Coturnix japonica: one gene and its partners. The protein of the gene in region 1 binds, or shares a complex with, the protein of each later gene. Links are inferred from orthologs where the notes say so. Each region holds a gene or a part of one and is shown on either strand. Other genes may lie near its edges.

Region 1 (4,046 bases):
TGTTAAGGACTTGGAGAGCACACCTTTACAAAGCTAAAGTTCCAGTGTCAAATGAATGTTTGCACAGTTGCAATGAATCCGGTACGTCTGGCCAGATGGAATGGGTTTCAGGAAGTCGAGGCCAAAAAGTAAACGCTCACAACATGTTGTCATTGAAAGAAAAGACCAGGCAGCTCCTGGTGCGATATCAGCGCGGCTGTTAGGTTTGTTCCAATAAGTGCAACGAGAAACTGATTGCTATGACATGAAAATAACGTCTTCCGCTGTAAGTAGAGTTTCAAGTCAAGTGTGGGTTATTTTGATGGGGAAAGGACTTGGGTCTGCGCAGCAAAGCAGGCACGTGGCTCAGCCAACTCCATGGAGCTTCTGTATCATTATCAGCACCTGAGACAGGTGGAATCGAACGATGAGAGTCAGGCTGTGCTCTAAGGGCTGAGCCACCGCGTCGCTGCAGATCCGCACCTTGGGTTGTGGGTGCTTAAAGAGAATGGTTCACAAGTTGCTAAATGGCTGATGAGAAGTAGCATAGGTGCGTTGTTTTCTTAGCTAGTTGTCATTATTTTGTACAAAAAGATCTATATAAATTAATAAAAAAAAAAAGCAACTTCTTTGTTTGGAAGCAAGGAAGGCTCGGCAAGGATTGCCTTGTACAGGTTCTGTTACGCACATCACTATTTGGGTTGTCTTGACTGTGTAATGTAATACTGTTTTGCTTTATTTTTTTTATACTTGCAAAGATGTCATTGTACCGATAGGCTGAACCTTGTAAAATACAAATGGGAGAGAACCAACGTCCTACAGAGCTGTGGTTTTTTTCTGCTGTGGTTTCAGGATATCGAATCCTACAGATTTCTATTAAATATTTATACTCCGGTTGACGCTGTGATGGTCTGTAGCTCTGAGCCCTGCCAGCTCCACTGTGCAGCCCAGGGGCTGCCCGGCCCAACGCCGGCACTTCCAGCCGCCTCAGCTGCGTTTCTGCCCCGTGTTCCTGAGGTGATCCCCGTCCTACCCAGCACCGAACCGCCCACCCGAGCACAGCGGGCCGGGACAGCCCCGGCACGGCCCGTCCAGCCCCGGCACGGCCCGTCCAGCCCCGGCACGGCCCGTTGTACCGCACGGCGCCCGGCCCGGCCCCGCCCCGCCGGGGGGAGCGGCCTGTCAGCCCTCCCAAGATGGCGGCGGTGCCGTCACCTCACCCCTCCCAAGATGGCGGCTCGGCCCCACCTCATCCCTCCCAAGATGGCGGCCGCAGGGGCGGGCCGTGCTCCCATGGTGCCCCGCGCGCCGTGCGCTGAGCTGCGGCTGAGTCAGCTCGCGCCGCGCTCCCGCGGCAAGATGGCGGCCGAGGCGGATTCCTGGGGTAGGTGTCGGCCTGGACCCGGTCCATCCGTTCCATCCGTTCCATCCGTTCGGTCCGTCCGGTCCTCGCTCCGCTCACCCGCTGTCCTTTCTGCTTCCCCCCACACAGACGCCGACACCTTCGAGGTGGTGGAGCCGGTGGCGAAGCGGTTGGTGCCGGGGGTGGCCGGAGATCGCTGGGCCGGAGAGGACGAGGACGACGACGTGAAGGTGCGTCGGGCCGGGACACTCAGCGCCGGGTCGGGCCGCTCCGATCGGATCCGGGCCGTGATGCGCTGTTGGCCGTCGGGTGTTGTTCGCTGTGGGGCCCGGGAGCCGACACGGCCCGAACGCGGCTCCTGGCGCGGTCCGGTACCGCTGGGCCACGGGGAGCGGAGTCGGGCCGGGAGCGGGTACGGGGAGCCGGGCGGGGAGGAGCCGGAGCTGCGGGGGGTGTCACGGTGCTGCCAGAACCGAGCGGGGCTGCAGGGCGGGATGGCGGCCACGGGCTGACGGAGCAGCGCTGGGATGGGGGGTTTGAGGCGCTGCAGCACGTGGAGGCGGGAGGATGGAGCCGGGCTGCGATACAGCGAGTGACTGAGCTACAGCGAGTGACTGAACTACAGCGAGTGAATGCACTACAGCGAGGGGCTGCATTACAACGAGGGGCTGCATTACAGCGAGTCTCCTGCCGCCTGGCCCCGCTGTGCTCCCAGCACGGAGCTCTGTGTGCACAGCAGCCGGGCAGCACGTGTGGGTGGGATCGGGATGGAAGGAGCCGAAGCTCACAGCAGCGTTTTGTGGCCGGTCCAGCTGCTGTCGGGGCTGTGACACGCAGCGGTGCAGCTCGGGGTGTCGCCTGGTCGCCACGTTGTGGTCGCTGGGTGAAGCCCTGCACGGTGCTGGGTGAGGGCTCAGTGCTCGGCTGGGTCGGGCTGTGCCGCTGTTTGGAGGATATTGGAACCACCAGCACCATTGGAGCTTAGGGTGGAATTCCTTCTGTGGGCAGTGTGAGAGCGTTCCCTTTATAAAGAGATACTTGTGTGAGTTAGGAGCTGTCTGTTCTGCTTCTGAAGCACAGTGACACCACACCCTGTGGTTATCACTGCTGTGGCATTACAGCACACAAGGTGAGTGGGGGTATCTCTGTGAGCAGCGTGGTTACAGCGTCACTGGATGCACGTATGTGACACTGGCTGCAGTGTGTGCGTACCTGTGTGTGTTTATATAGAACACATACAGAGCGCTGGTGAAGTTTGCTTTTCTGCCTTCCTTTGGAAGTGAGGAACCTTCCTGGTATCCAGCGTGTCCAGGAGAACTGCTCTGTGGGGTGGTGCTCATAGGGACAGCTCTGCTGTCATAAAGGAGCAGCTCCCCGTGTGCAGCAGTTTGGCTTCCTCCCCCTTTCTCGGGGTCACACTATTAGTACCAGAGCTGCACCTGGAGCTGAGGGCTGGATGGCAGATAGGAGTGTTTCATTTCCATTTGCTCGTTGTTTAAATGCTGGAGATCTCAGGGCTGAGCCTGGGAGGTGGATACTGGAGCTCCTTGTTTGCCAGGGTCAGCCTTGGAGTATGGATATAAGGGAAAGATGTGAGCGCGGTGTTTTGCGTGTTCATGTTCTTGCTTTGTTTCCTACATACTCGGATCCTGTAGTTTGTTTTGCAGTTGTTTTGATCTTAAAGTAACCCCAGAGTTCAGGAAACATTGACTTCCCCGGGTTTCAGATCATCATCTTCATTGGTAACGCAGCTGCTCTCAGCTGTTACCGGGCACAGCTTGCCCAGCAGACAGGCCTGGTGCCAACAGGGTTCGCTCTATTTATCCCTGGGCAGCTCTTGGTTGGAGGCTGTGCCCTGGCTCAGTGTCAGTGCTGGAGGAGGAGAGATGGGGCTCAGCTCCTGCTCCAGCTGCAGCGGTGGGAGCAGCTGCTGCACACTCACCCCTTGCACACTCACCCCTTGCACACTCACCCCTGCTCACTCACTCCTGCAGTGCTGACAGGTGCTTGGAGCAGCTTTGGGGCGGGTTGTTCCCATCTGAAGGCAGCAGTTGTTGGAGGAGGCGGTCGCTTCCTGCAGCCCCGTTGGTACTCGCTGCCCTCCTGCTCTGTGTGCTCGATCTAAACCCCTCCGTGCAGGCTGGGCACCGAGCACAGCAGTGCTGAGAATGGCTGTTTAAGAAATGGGTGTAACAGGTTTAATTAGATACGAGCTGAATGAGCGCTGCTGCAGATTCAAGTCAGCCTCCTGGAATGTGGATGGAAGCCGGCTCTGCCACAGGTGCGGGTTGGCCCAGGGGAGCTGTGGGGATGCGCTGTGACGCCGCGTTCCTCCTCCGGGTAAATGGCTGCTCTGAGTGCTCACGTTTCTGCTCTGAGGCCCAGCTGGGGATTGTGGTTGTAAAGCTCACCCATAACGTGTGCATGGCCTGCGTGGCTTCTGTGCAGACCAGGCCCTGCCAAAGGTGAGCTCTTAAGCTTACAGGTTCCACTCGTGCTGGTAACTCAAAGTAGATTCCTGGGCCATTTCTTGGCTTTAACTTGTGGTGCCACATGTACCTTCAGGGCTGTGACAAAGCGCTGATCTGTACACAGAGGGCATCAGTGGGACCTGGAGGGGCACCAGGGGAAGAACACGTGTCCATTAATGATACCCAGCTAATTGTTGGGAGGGGGCTGCACAGCTGACGGCACTGTGCTCAGC
Region 2 (4,015 bases), on another chromosome or scaffold:
TAAGAATGACTGTAACCCAGCAGTTGTGGTTTTCCTATCACACCAAGATTACAGCAGTTGAAAGGCACACAGTACAGCCCTATGTCACACACAAAATTAGGAGCAACAAAAACAGCAGCAGGCTTCTAGACACAGTTTACCTGTGGAATTTTCTGCATACCTTACTCTAAGCTGTATCTCAAGACAATTCCATTTAATTATTTTGTATCCACAAACTTAACCCCGCGGGTAACATAGAATTTAAACACATTTGGGTTGCTTTCCCCTCAACTTCTTTCTACAAAGATGAAAGTTCACCCAGTATGAGCCAAAGACTCAGAAGAAAGGAAATAAGAAGCTGCAAATAAGTTAACTTCTAAGCACATACAACACCTTAGAGTATATTAGGATATCTTGCCATTACCCAGCTAGCTAACAACACACATACACTGAAGCCATTGACAGGTAACCTCTGGCCTGAGAGCTAACAGATGGGCAGGGAAGCATCTACAAAAACTCTAAGGACTGAAAAAAGGAATTTCAAAACCTGATATTATAGAAAAATAATATTTTTTAATTATAGAATCTTTATATCTTTAGTTCTTCTTGCATGTAATATGGAAACATGTCCTCTAAGGAACCAGGTTATTTCCACAAAATCTTATGGGAAAAAGAGAACGATAATCCTGAAGCTCTGAGAGTCTCTTTTTCATAGCCAGTTCCCACAAAAGGCTATAAAAGAAAGGAATGCTTATTTAGCTTAACATGGAAGTAGAGGACATTCTATCCTAAATCAGAACTCTAACAGGTTAAACACATACCTACACTGTGTATCTCCTCTACCTTAAATGCAAAACTACCAACAAAGAAACCTTCAAAGGGCAGCGGCTGGTTCAGCCAGCTCTATTCCCACAGGCCAGAAAAGAGGGGTGTGGTGGGTGCACGGCTATCTTCAGCTGGCAGAATTTTAAGGACCTCTCTCATTATCTGAACTAAAGCTTCATGGCACCTGGGCGATGATCTGACACATTCCTTCTATGGAAGGTGGAACAGCTGTTCTGCTGTGCCAACACCATTCTGGGAAAAAAAAACCAACATAAGTCAAACTAACACCTGAGATGATCCAATCTTAAAGCCAGACTGGTTCAGAATTGTTCCTGAACACGTAACTCTTATCATAAATGTGGGAATATGGAAATAACCTTGAATCAGTGATGCTGATGGCCTGGAATTGATTGTCCTGTGGAGTTATCAGGGTAAAGGAAAAGGAATAAGGCAGCTCAAGAAGTAGAACAGGCAGATAGAAAACCAGACCAGCAGGAGTGACTAAAGTTAAACGCTGTAATTCAGCCACTAACATTGTATTATTCATACAGATGAAGAGTCAACCAAATTAATCCTAAAGAACAGAACAGAAAAAAAGACAGGAAATGTTCTGGGTTCTATCTAAACACTGACATGAATGTGATAATCCCCGATGTAGAGAAAGCATCCAAAGCAAACACTTCACTAGACAAGAATCCAGTGATAAACCTGCAGACACTTTTGGTAGTGTCTCTAAGATACACGTGCTCAAAGTGCCATATACACTACTAAGAATAACACACTTTCTTAATTCAAAATACTTCTCCACTTATTTATTAAGCTAAACATAGGAATGGAACACAAGAAAGCACAATTACCACTTGTATTCCGCCACCAATTCAAACCACCTGCTGACTCAGGAAGCAGTACATGCTTTAAGAGGCATTTTTCCAGCTCTGATACGTGTAACCATTACAGAACCTACAGCAGCATTTACGTCAGAGTAAGAACTGGCACAACAGACAAATGGATTTGCTGTTCAAGAATTGACACGGTTTATCTTGAAAGAGTTGTCCGAAACAGTAGAAATACTGAAGCACCAAAGACAGCTGCTGCCATAACGCCTTATGGGGCCAAACGACGGCTGGGTCATTGTATGACACTCAGTATCCAGCTTTTCCTCACAGACCCCGAGCTGCTCCACACCCGCAGCTCATCGCCCCGTTTCAGGAGGGCAGCGCTGACGGCACCAACCGCACGGACACGCCGAGGCCTCCCCACGTTCCCGCAGCGCCCCGGCCCAGCCCAGCCCGCCCCGAGCCGGCCCCGCACAAACCTTCGTCGCTGATGTCGTCCACGAATCCCTCGGGATCGCTGAACGAAAGCTCGTCCTCGGGCTCGGCGGGCGCGGCCTCCCCGTCCTCGCAGGGCTCGGTTGGCGGCTCGGCCTCGGCCTGGGACTCGCTCTTGGCCTCCTCCGACGGCGGCTCGGCCTCGGGCCCGGCCTGCGAGGGGCTCTCCCGGCCGGACGCCGACTGAGGGGAGGGCGGCTGAAGCGGCTGGGGCTCGGCGGGGGGCTCCGAGGCGGCGGGTGGCGGCTCAGGGGGCCCCTCAGAGCCGCCCTGTTCCTCCGGCCCTTCTTTCTCCCCTTCCTCCTCCTCCTTCAGTTGCTGCTGAGGCGGCGGCTCTGTCGGCGCTCCGTCGGCCCGCTCGGGTTCCTCGGCCGGGTCCTGTGCGCCGGGCGGCGCGGGGCTGTCCTCGGTGCCCTGCATGGGGTCGGTACGAGGCCCCACCGGCCGCGCGTTCCCAGCTCGAGAGCGACGGGAAAAGGAGCGGGGGAGGGGTGGGGAGGCTCCTACCGCCGGGCCATGTGCGCCAGGCCCCGCGAGCCGCCGCTACCAACGGGAGGGGGGGGCCGGGTTAGAGCAGCGCTGCCCGATGGAGCTTCCACCCGCCGCTTCTTTCTCCCTGCTCTTCCCCAGAGCGATCGCCGCCTCCTTCACCGCTCACCCCTCCTGCTCGGCCAGCAGCGCCGTCCGTCCTTTCCGAGCCCTCGCGGCTGCGGCTCCCCCTGCTGCACTGCTTTATGGTTCAGCCCAACATGGCGGCTCCTGCCCGTCCGCTGAGGTGGGGTTGGACCGAACCATTTCTCGGGAGGCCAAAAGCGGATCGTGTCTCTGTGCTCAACCGGGCGGGCGGCGACCGAACCCTCCGTGCGGTGCCGGCACTTCAGGCCATCAAACGTCCTGCACCGGGCAGGAGGAAACAGCGAATCTTGTCGCCTTCCCCCCCGCGGATCTACCGCTGTGGGCCCGTCCAAAGGCGGCGGGGCGATGGCGGGCGCTACCACAGCTCGTGATGGAGGGGCGGTGATGCTGGGCCCGGCCCGGCCCTGCCAACACATCGCCGGCTCAGTGAGCTGAGCTCTGTGTCCATTAAACCATTAAACCAAGGACACTTTGATCCCGATGCAAAGATACGTCCGAGTGTGTGCGGTGATACATCCACAAACAGAGAACACAGGGCTTTTCTTTGATGCCGTCAGGTTTAAGCGATGGCTTTGGAGGGAAAAAGCAGTTATTGAGGATTTAATCAGAAGCCGCTCGGAAAAGCTCGTTTTGTGATTTATCGGGCAGCCACAAGGTGCCACCCGAGCTCCATCCGAGCGCTGTGAGCGTCGGATCCCTCTTGAAGCCGCGTTTATGAATGGAAATGATGACTGGCCCCGCTGTGTGACAGCACTGGGCCGGGCTGTGACTTGCTGGGTTTCAGCAGCAAGTAGGAAGTAAAGGAAGAGCTGCTGCCTGTCCTGCTTACTAGCACGTTTTTTATCCAGATAGGAGGACATGCTGTGCTGCAACCCACAGCACCAGCTGCATCCTCACCATTATACGGCTTGTCCTTTTGTGACTCGGCTTTTGCAGCTCCTCACAGTTGCCTGCATTGCTGGGATAGACAGATTTCTATATGACCTTTCTTTCTGTTTACAAGCTATCAGCAAATTTGAATGCTGGGTCTTTCTTCCCTGTCATCTGTTTGAACTTTCTCTTACTTTACAGCACATTTTAATCCTTCCTTCCTTCCTTCCTTCCTTCCTTCCTTCCTTCCTTCCTTCCTTCCTTCCTTCCTTCCTTCCTTTCTTCTTCTTCTTCCTTTCTCCATCTTCCCCTCCATTCCCCTCTTCCTACCTTCCCCTCCCGTCCCTTTCCTCCTCCCTCCTCCTCCGTCCTCC
Region 3 (4,326 bases), on another chromosome or scaffold:
GCCTCACTCCAAACTGCTTCTGAAACTTCTTTTGGAGGCGCAAACGATCCCTACAATGACAAATAGGTGAAAAGCCATTACAACAAGTTCTCAACACAAGAAGCTCCCTGCCACGACTCCCACACTTCCAAATAATCACCAGAGGAACAACGTTTGCAGGCTGAGAATTTGGCTATCCAAACAACTGAAGTGTTAAGAGCTTTGTTCTGCACTCTGAACACCCTTTATATGTTTTTATCCTTAATGACCACAACACAGTTTCCAGGAAGAGCACATCCTGCTTTAAGTTGTCACACTTACCTCCTAAACTTGACTCAAAACATCTCCTAGATTCTTAAATAGCTGCCTGAAATCCATGCTTGTAACTACTGGGCGCATCAGCAAACATTAAAATACCCTGAAATGCTTTGCTAGGAACTTTGGTGGGTTCTGTTACAGTAACTTAAATTACTCGTTAACAGTATGTTCACACACTCCAAGTACAGAATGCTTGTATGTGAAGCCCGCACCTCTCTTTCTGCTTGGCACTCTTTGGCAGCGTCTGCATGCTGAACTGCAGCATGTTCCGGCGGTCCTTGTCTCTCCGAAGGTTCCTCTGTGGGAATGCAGCAAAGAATAAAAGGACAGATTAGTGGCAAAGTAATTCTGTATTGCTCAATCTCTTTTTTTGAGCCTGTTTCTGAAAGTAAAGCTTTACCTGTGCAAATCGCATGCGATTCCTCTGGTATGCAGTTTTCTGTGTCCGGGCTGTATCCACCAACTGGAAGCTGGTCTCATCCTCCTCATGGAAATACGCATATTGACTTCCACCACCAAACTGTGATGAGTACTTGTCTGGAAATAAAATAAATCATTTTGCTATGAAGCTTGGAAGCAAAAATATGACACTCCACCCGCCCCCCCAGTTTTCCTCAGTAGCCTTTACTCAAGTCTAATGCATCAACTAGGACTCCTGCATTAGACTGTCACATTGCCTCCCTGCTCTGAACCTCCCAGAGAAGCACCAGTCAGCACATGGAACAAACCCACAAGGGAACCCTAAGGGCAGGGAGAGCCCCACGCAGCTCTCCAAGCGGTGAGACACGCTTCTGAAATTAAAGAGCCTCCTCTGCTGAGGTGTGTATGTAGCCGGTAGAGCCAGTGGGAAACACGAAAGCAGGGATGACGTTTGAAGTAAGCTTTGCACAAAATAAATAGCAGGAACAGCCATTGGACAACACGTACTTGTGTATCTCTTATCCTGATACGTGGCTCCTGTCCAATCTGCCACCTAAGGACAAAAATATACAGTAAAAAAAAAAAGCAAGTGTTAATATGATGTGTGTGTCGTCCCCCCCCCCAGTAGGGCCTCAAAAGGCAAAATAAGGGACTGCTGTATGCACCTCAACTCCCACCTCCATAAGCAAGCCTCACAGAATGCTCACAACTGTCAAGGTGCTGGAGAACCATATAATGTCATATCTCAGAATGGCTCAGGTTGGAAGGAATCTTAAAGAATATCTAAATCCTGCCCCCCACCAGCTCATTCACCGGCTTTAAGCTGCAGGTGTATGGGCACCACAGCTCTCTGGGCAGTCTGTGCCAGCGCCTCAGCGTCCTCTAAACAAAGAATCACAGAATGACCCGGGTTGGAAGGGACCTCAAGGATCATGTAGTTCCAACCTGCCTGGCAGGCGCCAAACATACACCTTACTAGATCAGGTTGCGGGCCCGTCCAACCTGGTCTGAACACCTCAAGGACGGGCATTCACAACTCCCTGGGCAGCCGTGTCCAGGGCCTAACCACTTTCCTAGTGAAGATTCCCCTAAAATCCAACCTAATCTTCCCTCCTTCAACTTAAAACCATTTCCCCTAGTCCTGCTATTATCAGCCTTTTGAAGAGTTTACTCCCTCCTGGGAGTAGTTCCTTCAGTACTGAAAGGCTGCAATGAGGTCACCCGCAACCTTCTCTTCTCTAGGCGAACACCAACTCCCTCAGCTGTTCCTCATAGGGGAGTGCTCCAGCCCCTGATCATCTTCGTGGCCTCCTCTGGACCCTTTCCAAAATTCCATGTTTTTTGTACTGAGGGCTCCACACCTGGACACAGTATCCAGATGGGCTCACAAAGCAGAGTAGAGAGGACGATCTCCCTATCCTGCTGACCACCTCTCCTGATGGAGCCCAGGATCCATTTGCTTTCCGGGCTGCCAGAGCGCACTGCTGGCTCATGTTGAGTCTTTCGCACACCAAGACCCCCAGGTCTTTCTCTGCCGAGCAAAAAAAGAGACCCCTCCCAACGTCTAACCCAGCTCCCCACTCTGGTAGCTCAGCAGAGGCACAGGGGTGCACCCAGCAGCCACACAGCGCAGTACCTTGCCCAGGCGGTCCCCCTTGCTGAAGGGCTGGTAGGGCATATCCTTGAACTGCTCGGGCACGGCGCACGGGCCCCAACCCGAGGGGTTGTCCTGGATCACGGGGGTCACGAACTTCGCCATGGCTCACAGCCCTGCGGGGAACAAGCGGAACGTTCCTTCAGCACCCGCCCCGTCGGCGCCACCGTGAGGGGAAGGGGCACCGAGGGAGCCCGGAGCGGGCGCAGGAAGGCGGGGGCGCCGGCCCGGCCCCACCGGAACCGGCGGTAACGCCTGGGCGGGGCCGGGGGTCGCGCTGCCCGCGGGCCGGTCCCGGTAGGACGGCGGAGCGTGACGGGGCGGCCGCGGCGTCCCCTCACCTGAGCGGCCGCGTTACGGCCCCGATGGCGACGGATACGACAGCGGCGGCGACGGCCGGCGAGGAAAGGCCGCGCGCAGCCCCGTCCCGCCCTTATTGCGTCAGCACTGCGCGACGGCGCCGCCGCGCACCACCGTCGTAAAAGAGAGAGAGCGAGGGGGCGGAGCGCGACTGCCGTAAAGCGCGGATCTCCCGTTAGGCGCAATGCGCCCCGTGACGTCACCGCCGGCATCGGGCTGTACGTGGTGGGGTGTGACGTCACCACGGCTTTTACTTACCCGGGGGGTAGGGAGGGGGCAGGGTGGGTTCGTCGCGTGCCTTACATAGGATCATTAAGGCTGGAAAAGACCTCTAGGATCACCCGGTCCAACCATCAGCCCATCCCCACCATCCCCATGACCACGTCCCTCAGTGCCACATCCACACGGCTCTGAACACCTCCAGGGACGGTGACTGCACCACCTGCCTGGGCAGCCTGTGCCACTGCAGCACCTTCCTCATATCTCAATCTTTCCTCATATCCAACCTGACCCTCCCCTGAGGCCATTCCCTCTCACCCTATAACTGTTACCTGTGAGCAGAGGCCGACCCCCACCTCACCACAACCTGTTTGCAGAACGTCCCTGGGTATCTTGCACCATCTGAGTCTAGATCAATATTTTGCAGGCAGAGCACCGTGCATTTCCTCCTTTATTTACTGCGTTTAAACCCTCCTCGAGAAATAACCGAAGCAGTCTGCTTTGCCAGGAGGCTGCGCCATTAATCAGAAGTCGGATTATTAAAGCAGTTTTCCCCGCTAGCAAAAAGAGAAATCCACTTACAGAAACACGGTTTATAAAATACCATTTGTAACTCTCACAGGCAAACAGCCTTTGTGGTGACAAACGTCAGTGCTGGAACAGCCCTGGATATCACAGACTCAACCTGAGCATAGCCACGTTCAAGTCATGCTTAGGAAACGTAAAAGGAAGTCCCAAAGAGCAAACGGAATGAAGAAAGAGAAAACAACTAGACTGATAAACCTAGACTCTGCATTCCCCCTGCTTGCCTGTTCCCTTACAGTCCTGTGTGAGGTGCTGAAAGGCAAGTGTAGCGCTGCTGCTGCCTGCTGAAGAGTGCTGGCACTTCGGGCCCAGCCCCTCAGGCTGCCTCGTCTGGGAATGGAGCTGGGTATTAGTGTGTCTCAGAGGGGAAAGCAAGCACAGGGAATGGCCATCAGAGAACAAATGCTCTTTTAGGCACATCATAACCTACCGGTTTCTTATCAAGAGGAGAAACTTCAGCTGCAAGAAAAATCCAGCCTTGAGGAAGGTGAGATTTGTTCCCCCATTTAAGTGGGATTTACTGGAAGAGGGGACAGGGTGGCTTTGGCTCACGCTTACTTGGCACCAGACCCTGCCCAGCTCACCTCCTGTCCTGGGCTGCACTCAGGGCTGTGCTGGTGTCAGCTCCAGCACTGTTTCTGCAGATGATTTGCCATCCAGCTGTCGGCTATCATTATCAGCACGTGAGACACACAGTGTCCCAGAAAAGTGCTGACTTTGCTCAAAATACACTCGCTTGCAATCACTTGATCTGTGATCCATAATTTCAGTTAATCAGTTAATTAATCAGT
Region 4 (4,033 bases), on another chromosome or scaffold:
ATTAGAGCTGATATTCAACCACCCACCAATCACTAACATCACCCAGAACAAATTAAATTGTCTCACTGTTGTCCAGTAGAAGAAGGCTGCCTTTTCAAGTCCAGGTAGCTTCTAGTACAACTAAGTGATGAAGTCTCATGTGAATAGAATACTTTAAGTCTCCTTTTCCTCCTCTGTGCTGTCCAGACCTAAGAACTGCCTATTAACCTACACAGCTTTTTGTCCTCTTCCCCTCAAGGAAGGTCTTTGTAAATCCCAACAACACAGCTGCTTCTAGACAATCATACCAAAGAATCATAGAATAGCTTGGAAGGGACCCTGCTGTGGACAGGGCCACCAGTTCAGCCCCCATCCAACCTAGCCTTGAACCTCCAGGGATGGGGCACCCACAGCTCTCTGGGCAGCAGTGCCAGTGCCTCACCGCCCTCTGCATAAAGAATAAGTTTTAAATGCTCTAGAAGACCGATAAACACAGGAGGGAATCACTCTTCCTAGAATTATCTTGTGTCACCTGTAGACACCCCATGGGCAGCTTGGGAACCTCCTACAAAATAACTCAAGCAACCAGTTTCACCTGTTCAGGCAAGTCTTTGATTTAGGAACTTCAAAAAGACTCCTGCATTAACCCATTTCTCCACCCTGTGGTCCAAACCAAAACTGCAATTATTACTCATTCACCATGTAAGTCACACACCTGTCCTGCTTCTTTCTTACAGCCAAGAACTACTCTGATTTTCCTACTGACTTCAAATTAGCCTTTTTAAGGGAAAGAAGCATGGTTTGTTGTTGTTGTTTTTTTAATAGACCATTATTCCTTCTGTCTTCTTCTCCTGTATCCTCTGTGGTGCCAGTTTCTTCCTATCCACAAAACACTCTGACCCCGTATGGTCTTTCAATTACAAGTAACTCAAACTCCTCTTGTGACACCCCCTCATACACCTGCTAGCCTGAAGAAGAAATAAAGAGTCATGAAGAAACACACAAAACTGACCTGTAAGTCATGCAGTTATACAGCTCTAACAGAGAGAAAATTCAGCTATTTCTAACTCGACCCATACCTCCTAAATCTATTCAATATTGTTTTGCAAAACTTTGGAACCACTGATGCTTTAACAGCAGTGCAACTTGTTCACTTTGATGGCAGAAGAACCAAGCGCAACTAAAAGACACAGAGCAAATACTCACGCTGACTTTGGCGTAGATATGCCTATAATACAGCTCCTTGTACAGGATGAGGAAAACTGCATCTGGAAGAGATGAGAGAACTGGATATCAGCAAACCATGAAGCTTAGGCAACTGGATCTCTGAGGCACCGGTGATGTTCCTACTGCCACAGTTACAAGGACAAGTAAAAGAGGATGCTCATTCATCTGACTTTCTGATAGGCATCTACAGAAGGAGCTGCCATAGCAAAGATGAGTGATTCATAAAAACCACATGCCAGCTCCCTAACACATCAAAAGTAATTTAGTTCCTTCATTCTCCTGTAAGGAAAACAGAGTGGAAAAGAAATGCTTACCATTTCCAACCTGTGGGGCAATGGCCTCTGCCTCTGGCCATGGGGTGTTCTTGAAAAACCTTTCTGTTAGCTTTGTCCAGCTGAAAGATAAGACGTGGGGTATGAGAAAACATCCCTGAGCATCACAGAGCTGCAGTTAGAAACCACAGTACAAAGGGCTTGGACTTGATAGGACACTGTCTCCCTTCAAAACTGGTGTTACTAAGGAATTAGAATGGCAAACAAAGCAGTTAAAAAACTGACCATAGAATGGCTTGGGTTGGAAAGAACCTTAAAGATCATCTAGTTTGCATCAGTATTACCGACAACTAAATCAGCTACCAGACTGAGTTGCCCTGGGTCCTATCCAACCCGGCCTTGAACACTTCTAAGGACTGGGCATCCAGAACCTCTCTGGGCTGCTCCAATGCCTCAACAGCCTCACAGTGAAAAACTATCACATCTAATTTTAGTTTTCAACTGTTGCCCTTGTCCTATCACTATCTGCCCATGTAAAAAAGCCGAGTTCCCTCCTGTGGGTAAGCTCCCTTCAAGTACTGGAAGGCTGCAATGAGGTCTCCAGGCTGAACAAGCCCAGCTCCCATCCTTTCTTCACAGAAGAGGTACTCCAGAGGTGGCCTTCCCCTGGACCCACTCCAACAGCTCTACATCTTTCTCATACCGGGGGCCCGGGGCCTTTAAGTATGGGAGGTTTTAAGCAGTGAGAATGCAAGGACAGCCCCGCACCTGTTCTCATAGATGTCCTGGATCTCATACACCTTCTGGTCAATGACATCGCTGGAGACTCGGCTGGCCTGCAGCTCGTACACCTTCTGGTCGATGAGGTCGGACACGGTCTTGTGGAAGTACTGGATGAAGTTCTTGATGACCTCGGGGATCACCTGGTACGTCTGCTGCTCGTACTGCCGCTCGTAGGCCAGATCCTGCTTCGGGTCTCCTGAAGGGAAAGAGGCGGGTTGTAAGCCCGAGGCCTACAGCCCCCACCCCGCGGGGCGGCCCGCACCGCGCACTCACCCGTGTGCATATCATAGTCGTTGGAGTAGGCGTACGGGTCGTAGGCGGCCTGTGAAGACACGATGCGGGGATGTTACCGCGACGAGCACGAACCGGACCCACAAACCCCCCCCCATCCCCGCAGCCCGCCCCCCGCTCGCACATCGTTGTCGTAGTCCTCCCCCGGGTAGGCCATGGCGCGGCGCGGGGCCTGGGCAGGCAGGAAGAGGAGGTGGGACCAAGCGGCACGCTCCGGAAGGCCGGCCGAATTTGTTTAGTCTCTCTATTGGTTAAAATAACTGCTTGTCTTCAGAGGCTTTTCTCTCTGATTGCAGAGTCCGCCTGCCCGTCTGCACTATGTCAGCGACGACCCTTCCCGCCCCTCCCCTCACACCCCGTACCGCCCGGCCCGGCCCGTGAGGGAATGGAGGCCGAGTCTGCTGCGGGGACGGAGTCGGAGTCCGCTCTGGGAGCCGGGATGGCGCTGGGAGGGGCGGCGGGGGAAGCCTCCCTCGGCTACCTGCACGTCCTGTGGCAGCGAGAGGAACCTGCCGGCAAGATCCCGGCCCGCCGCCTGCGCAGGGCCGCCCGCATCCACCGTCGCCTGGGGCCTACGGGCAAGGAGAGCCACGGTGAGCGGGAGCGGGTTCCCCCTTCCTCCCCTGCCCCCTTCCTCCTCCGTGCTTCACACTAATGGCTTTCTTTCCTCCCCAGCCCTGAAGAGGCTGCGTGAGGCTGCCAATGGCAACGACCTGGACACAGGTGAGACTTCAACCTGACGTGAAGCCACTTCCTGGAAAGGCAGTTTGTTCAAAGCTCTTTGTTTCAGCAGAGGACGAGGAGAAGGAAGGTGCAGGTAGTTTGCAGGAATCTTCCTTTAGTTGCTGAAGATCTAGAAGTTGCTTCTCTTGAGCCTTTTGTTCCGTTCTCTGAGCAGAGTGAGACTGATTGTTATATTGATTTTTTCACTGTATTGGGTCCAGCTGCCTCAGGCTAGATTAGCAATCAGCTGTTATTCCAGCTTTTTGGTACGTAACTTTTGCCCACTCATCAGCTCTGTGACTCTCTTGACTTCCATGTACTGTAGATCAGCTGGGTTTTGATCCTAAGCATTCATCAGCAATACTGGCATATGTCATTTGCCCCCTGTCGTGGTTCCTCCTTTGTCTGTTATCAGACCATGTTGTGAACAATCGGAAATAGACGGGATTTGTAACAACCCCTGGCATTACAGGATGGGGTGATGTTGTACCCTCCAGCTTTACAGTACACCTTGTTTCATGAACTGATGGATGCATTCATCTGTGAGCTCTGACCTTGTGCAGGGTCCATACTTACCTGCAGAAGAGCTGGTAGCATCACCCCTTTCTGATCAGGTGTCCCTTCAACTTACCTGCATCCTTTTCTTTCTTGGCACTGCCAGTGCAGCAACTGCTGGAGGATGGAACTGACCCCTGTGCTGCGGATGACAAAGGCCGGACAGCCCTGCACTTTGCCTCCTGCAATGGCAATGATCACAT
Region 5 (4,024 bases), on another chromosome or scaffold:
AATTCACTAGCTCTACCCCCTTACAAGTCAGTTTCACTTCCTTTTCAGCTTCCTTGCACAAACTACTGCCTAAGCAGTTACCAGAAGGGAGCACACAACATTAAAACAACAAATAGATGCAGAATACAACGTGCCAAATGTTTTAAGCGTAACTTACTTTTACCACCAATATCCTCTCCCAAAATCCTTCCAGTCACCAGCGTGACTATCAGAGCCAGGGAGTTACAGAGCGGCACTGCCAGGGACAGCTCTGAAATTGAACAATTGTAACACGGTTTGAAATGGATGCGTCCTTCATTCAAAGACATCTACTTGAATCCCCCTGTGGCACAAGTGGTAGAAGTGCCGCTCTGCTACACAGGAGGCTCGAATCCCGGGGGTTGGACTCGATGATCTCTAAGGTCCCTTCCAACCCACACCAGACTGTGATACTATGATGATGATACTTGATGTTCAGCCAGATCACCAAATGAATCAGTAATACAGCTCCTCCCCAAACCCTGATCAACCCACTGGACAAAGCAGTGAGAGCTGACCTGCAGATGCCAAGGTGAGGTAGAAGAGGAGCGATCCACATTGGTTCAGCAGGAATGGCACCATGTACTGCGGAAAGAAGACAGGTCACTGCATGGAAAAGCATTGCAATGCCTGCAGCAAGCAGTGCAAGCCTTGGATGCCATGTCTGCAGAAGGCAGGCAGGTCTGAATGTGAAATATGAGGGTTAATTTCTACAAGTGTCTAAGTTCTCCATAAGAAGAGCAGGACTGCAGGTGGGTAGATGAAATGTTATAGAGTACAAATCATTTTGCTGATAGATGGGAGGTGCTGAGTGCAGGAAGGAGCATGAAGGCCCGTCCCATACACCCCATGATTCCGGCTGTGCTCACCTTGTAGTTGCAGCCCAGGAACCTGATCTCGGCCAGCAGCTGCCGTAGGAGCCCCCGGCGCTGCACGTCCAACAGCCCCGCCGCTCCCGTCCGTAGGAACGGCCCGGTGCTGCCCCATAGAACCGACACCAGCACCAGCACGGCGGCCTGCCCTGCAGCACAACATCAGCTCAGCCCCGGGGCTGTTGGCCCGGCCGCCATCAGCCCGCAGCCCCCTCACACAGCCCACCCCGTCCCCTCAGCCCCTCCGGGATCCACCCGAGGCCCGTCCCCCAAACCCGGAAGCTCACCGGCGGCCGCCATAGCGCCCCGTGACCCGGACGTGATACTCCACGCCTCTTCTCTCTCGCTCCGGTTCCGGCAGCGCCGTGTCCGCCATGGTGAGTCGGGTTGTGGGCCGGGCCGGGCTGATGCGGGTCCCGGCTGGGTCCTGGGGTCGGCGGGGCTCCTGGGCTGATGGTGGTGGCAGCCTGAGCCCCAGCCGGGGCCTCGGCCTCGCTTGGCATAGCGTTAAATGGCGCCTTCCCTCATTGCCGCGTGCAGAAGCCGATCCTGCTGCAGGGCCACGAGCGATCCATCACACAGATCAAGTACAACCGAGAGGGAGACCTGCTGTTCACTGTGGCCAAGGATCCCGTGAGTGAACCGGGGGCACCGGGAAACCGGGCTGTGTGCGATGGGGGGGGAGGGATAAAGGTGGGTAATTAACGAGCTCAGGTAATTGGTCAGAGCGGCTCTTCAAGCCTTTTTATCTTCTTTTAGATCGTCAACGTTTGGTACTCGGTGAATGGAGAACGGCTGGGCACCTACAATGGGCACACAGGAGCCGTGTGGTGTGTGGATGCTGACTGTATCCTTTGGGTGCACAACCAGTTTGTGCTCTCGTTCCTTGCAGTGATTCAGCACGGATGGCTCCATTCAGCTGCTGTGTTTAATTGTCCCTTGTGCCATCTCTTGGTTATTTGTGCTCCTTGGGAAGTTTCCCAAGTCCTGTAATTTCTCAATGTAACGCAGCTTCTTAATCTTGTGTGTAAATACTCCCTGGGTATCTAATGATTTTTGGGGCTGCAAACGTGCTGATATCCCTTAACTGCTGACCAAGGGGACACCCGACATGTGCTCACTGGCTCTGCAGATAACAGCTGTCGGCTCTGGGACTGTGAAACAGGTAAAGGCTCTTCTCTCCCACGTGGCTGGATCTGACTCAGCTCTGTCCTGTTCTGGGATCTGTGCAACATGTGCCTGTTTGCCCCTGAAAGAGCCCAAGTCCTTTCTTGGCTGTTTGTGTATTTGCCTTATTTTCAATGGGCACTTATTCATTTTGCTCACCAAGCACATTTAGTGCTTTCCAGTCACCCAACCTGTCTGTCAGCTCTGATGCTCCTGTTCTTTCTATGACTGCACTTCTGTTTGATTGCTTTCATTAATGTTTGCAATGCAAGACCAAGTGAAGTGATGGTTTCTGCTCCGTGTTCAGGAAAGCAGCTCGCTCTGGTGAAGACCAGCTCGGCAGTGAGGACGTGTGGCTTTGACTTTGGAGGAAACATCATCATGTTTTCCACGGACAAGCAGATGGGTTATCAGTGTTTTGTGAGCTTCTTTGACCTGCGTGACCCCAGCCAAATCGGTGAGGAATCCGGGCCTGTGCCTGCAACTGGGAATAAGGGGAAGCGTTGGCTGCCAAGAGCTGGTGCCACTCAGTCTGTGTGTCTCCATCCTTCCTTCCTGCAGAGAACAACGAGCCTTACATGAAAATCCCCTGCAGCGACTCTAAAATCACTAGTGCTGTGTGGGGCCCTTTGGGAGAATTCATCATCGCAGGACACGAGAGTGGGGAGCTGAACCAGTTCAGTGCCAAGGTCAGTGTGATAAGGAGGAGCATCACCCTCAGGCAGCAACTCTTGGGAGAGGATGTTGCAACGTTCCTGTTGTGATCATGTGGCAGAATGTGGGTTTTTTTGGCTCAAACCAGTGGCCTTGAGGAAGGATAGTTAAAGTATGTGGCTTTCTTCAGCAAAGCTGAACATATATATGCCTACCTTTCTGCTGACAGCAACATCTAAAGTCGGTTTTAGCAGAGAAGTTGTTTGTACACTTTCCTTGCCAGTTCACTTAAACTGCCTCGTTTACCCTTCAGTCAGGGGAGCAGCTTTCAAACATCAAGGAGCACACCAAGCAAATCAATGATATTCAGACCTCCAGGGACATGACCATGTTCATCACTGCCTCCAAGGATAACACTGCCAAGGTGAGGCCTCCTGGGGGGACTGCGGTGCATTGCTGACATCCGCTTGCAGGACCCCTGCTCAAAGTCATGGCTGCCTCAGTGGTTTTCTCTTTGGGAATTTGAGCAGGTGTAGAGCCAAAGCTTAGTGGGAGGGCTGATATTTGGGATTCTGGAGCAATAGCTTTGACATTTGGATGCCCAGGAGTGACTTTAGAAGTAACACCTGCTCATGTGAGGACTGGCAGCTGGGGTTTGCATGAGATACTTGGACTGCCACTCTCTTCCTTTTGCATTTTAGCTATTTGACTGCACAACGCTGGAACATCTGAAGACATTCCGGACAGAGCGACCGGTGAACTCTGCTGCACTCTCCCCCATTTTTGATCACGTAAGCATGAGCCCACGCATACTAACGGTCTTAGTGCAGCTCCTGCATTGTCTCAGGCAGCTGGAAGGCACAGTGTCACCAGTTCAGCCTGAGCTAAAGAATCACTGTGGGACAGGGCCAGGGGACTTGACTGCTGTCATGGGCTGTGCTGGGTTAGTGGGAGGCTTCCCCAAGGCTGGGCTCCCTCCTACCCTGGCTGTTGTTCCACATATGGTGTAAGCAGCACTGCAGTGTTGTGACTTTCTTCCTATGCAGGTTGTGCTCGGTGGTGGGCAGGAGGCCATGGATGTGACCACGACCTCCACCAGGATTGGCAAATTTGAGGCAAGGTTGGTGCTCTTCTCTGGCAGGGCTGAGTCTGCACTTGGAGTTCTCTCCTGCTCCCAGAGCGTCTTGCTATTGGCAGCATTTGGAGAGTTACTAGAATTGCAGAGCTTCTCTGAGGAAACCCTGATGACATCCCTAACCTGCCTCTTTCTTCTCCCAGATTCTTCCACTTGGCTTTTGAAGAAGAGTTTGGCA

Evidence for each region.
Region 2: the proteins of EIF3J (region 1) and EIF3B are in contact, whole or in part, in an NMR structure (PDB 2KRB), measured with the Homo sapiens proteins. The link is inferred for Coturnix japonica from reciprocal best matches to the Homo sapiens genes EIF3J and EIF3B. Residues at the interface, in NP_003749.2 of Homo sapiens: Asp45, Glu46, Asp50, Asn51, Trp52, Asp53, Asp54, Asp55; in NP_001032360.1 of Homo sapiens: Lys202, Asn205, Val206, Ile207, Lys209, Ile210, Lys213, Asn249, Ala250, Asp251, Gly252, Tyr253, Lys254, Leu255, Phe261.
Region 3: EIF3J (region 1) and EIF3D share a complex: the UniProt entries of both Homo sapiens proteins name them as parts of the eukaryotic translation initiation factor 3 (eIF-3) complex. The link is inferred for Coturnix japonica from reciprocal best matches to the Homo sapiens genes EIF3J and EIF3D.
Region 4: EIF3J (region 1) and EIF3L share a complex: the UniProt entries of both Homo sapiens proteins name them as parts of the eukaryotic translation initiation factor 3 (eIF-3) complex. The link is inferred for Coturnix japonica from reciprocal best matches to the Homo sapiens genes EIF3J and EIF3L.
Region 5: EIF3J (region 1) and EIF3I share a complex: the UniProt entries of both Homo sapiens proteins name them as parts of the eukaryotic translation initiation factor 3 (eIF-3) complex. The link is inferred for Coturnix japonica from reciprocal best matches to the Homo sapiens genes EIF3J and EIF3I.

The regions. Positions count from the first base shown.
Region 1 is NC_029525.1:17,935,953-17,939,998, reverse strand, and holds the start of EIF3J (eukaryotic translation initiation factor 3 subunit J), read left to right. Parts: upstream 1-1,194; 5' UTR 1,195-1,209; coding exon 1,210-1,363; intron 1,364-1,471; coding exon 1,472-1,572; intron 1,573-4,046. UniProt on the Homo sapiens protein: Component of the eukaryotic translation initiation factor 3 (eIF-3) complex, which is required for several steps in the initiation of protein synthesis.
Region 2 is NC_029529.1:3,185,229-3,189,243, reverse strand, and holds the start of EIF3B (eukaryotic translation initiation factor 3 subunit B), read right to left. Parts: upstream 2,855-4,015; 5' UTR 2,556-2,854; coding exon 2,120-2,555; intron 1-2,119.
Region 3 is NC_029516.1:47,223,398-47,227,723, reverse strand, and holds the start of EIF3D (eukaryotic translation initiation factor 3 subunit D), read right to left. Parts: upstream 2,831-4,326; 5' UTR 2,713-2,830; intron 2,488-2,712; 5' UTR 2,477-2,487; coding exon 2,354-2,476; intron 1,271-2,353; coding exon 1,225-1,270; intron 835-1,224; coding exon 698-834; intron 596-697; coding exon 510-595; intron 51-509; coding exon 1-50. UniProt on the Homo sapiens protein: mRNA cap-binding component of the eukaryotic translation initiation factor 3 (eIF-3) complex, a complex required for several steps in the initiation of protein synthesis of a specialized repertoire of mRNAs.
Region 4 is NC_029516.1:46,630,741-46,634,773, forward strand, and holds the start of EIF3L (eukaryotic translation initiation factor 3 subunit L), read right to left. Parts: upstream 2,802-4,033; 5' UTR 2,710-2,801; coding exon 2,677-2,709; intron 2,584-2,676; coding exon 2,535-2,583; intron 2,458-2,534; coding exon 2,247-2,457; intron 1,601-2,246; coding exon 1,521-1,600; intron 1,248-1,520; coding exon 1,186-1,247; intron 1-1,185. Other genes in the region: ANKRD54 (ankyrin repeat domain-containing protein 54), read left to right, coding at 2,938-3,145, 3,228-3,275, 3,937-4,033. UniProt on the Homo sapiens protein: Component of the eukaryotic translation initiation factor 3 (eIF-3) complex, which is required for several steps in the initiation of protein synthesis.
Region 5 is NC_029538.1:4,527,780-4,531,803, reverse strand, and holds the start of EIF3I (eukaryotic translation initiation factor 3 subunit I), read left to right. Parts: upstream 1-1,149; 5' UTR 1,150-1,177; coding exon of another isoform or gene 1,178-1,190; 5' UTR 1,191-1,264; coding exon 1,265-1,267; exon of another isoform or gene 1,268-1,271; intron 1,272-1,430; coding exon 1,431-1,523; intron 1,524-1,649; coding exon 1,650-1,737; intron 1,738-1,989; coding exon 1,990-2,055; intron 2,056-2,364; coding exon 2,365-2,514; intron 2,515-2,618; coding exon 2,619-2,746; intron 2,747-3,024; coding exon 3,025-3,135; intron 3,136-3,412; coding exon 3,413-3,502; intron 3,503-3,757; coding exon 3,758-3,831; intron 3,832-3,989; coding exon 3,990-4,024. Other genes in the region: TMEM234 (transmembrane protein 234), read right to left, coding at 158-250, 537-603, 888-1,039, 1,178-1,190. UniProt on the Homo sapiens protein: Component of the eukaryotic translation initiation factor 3 (eIF-3) complex, which is required for several steps in the initiation of protein synthesis.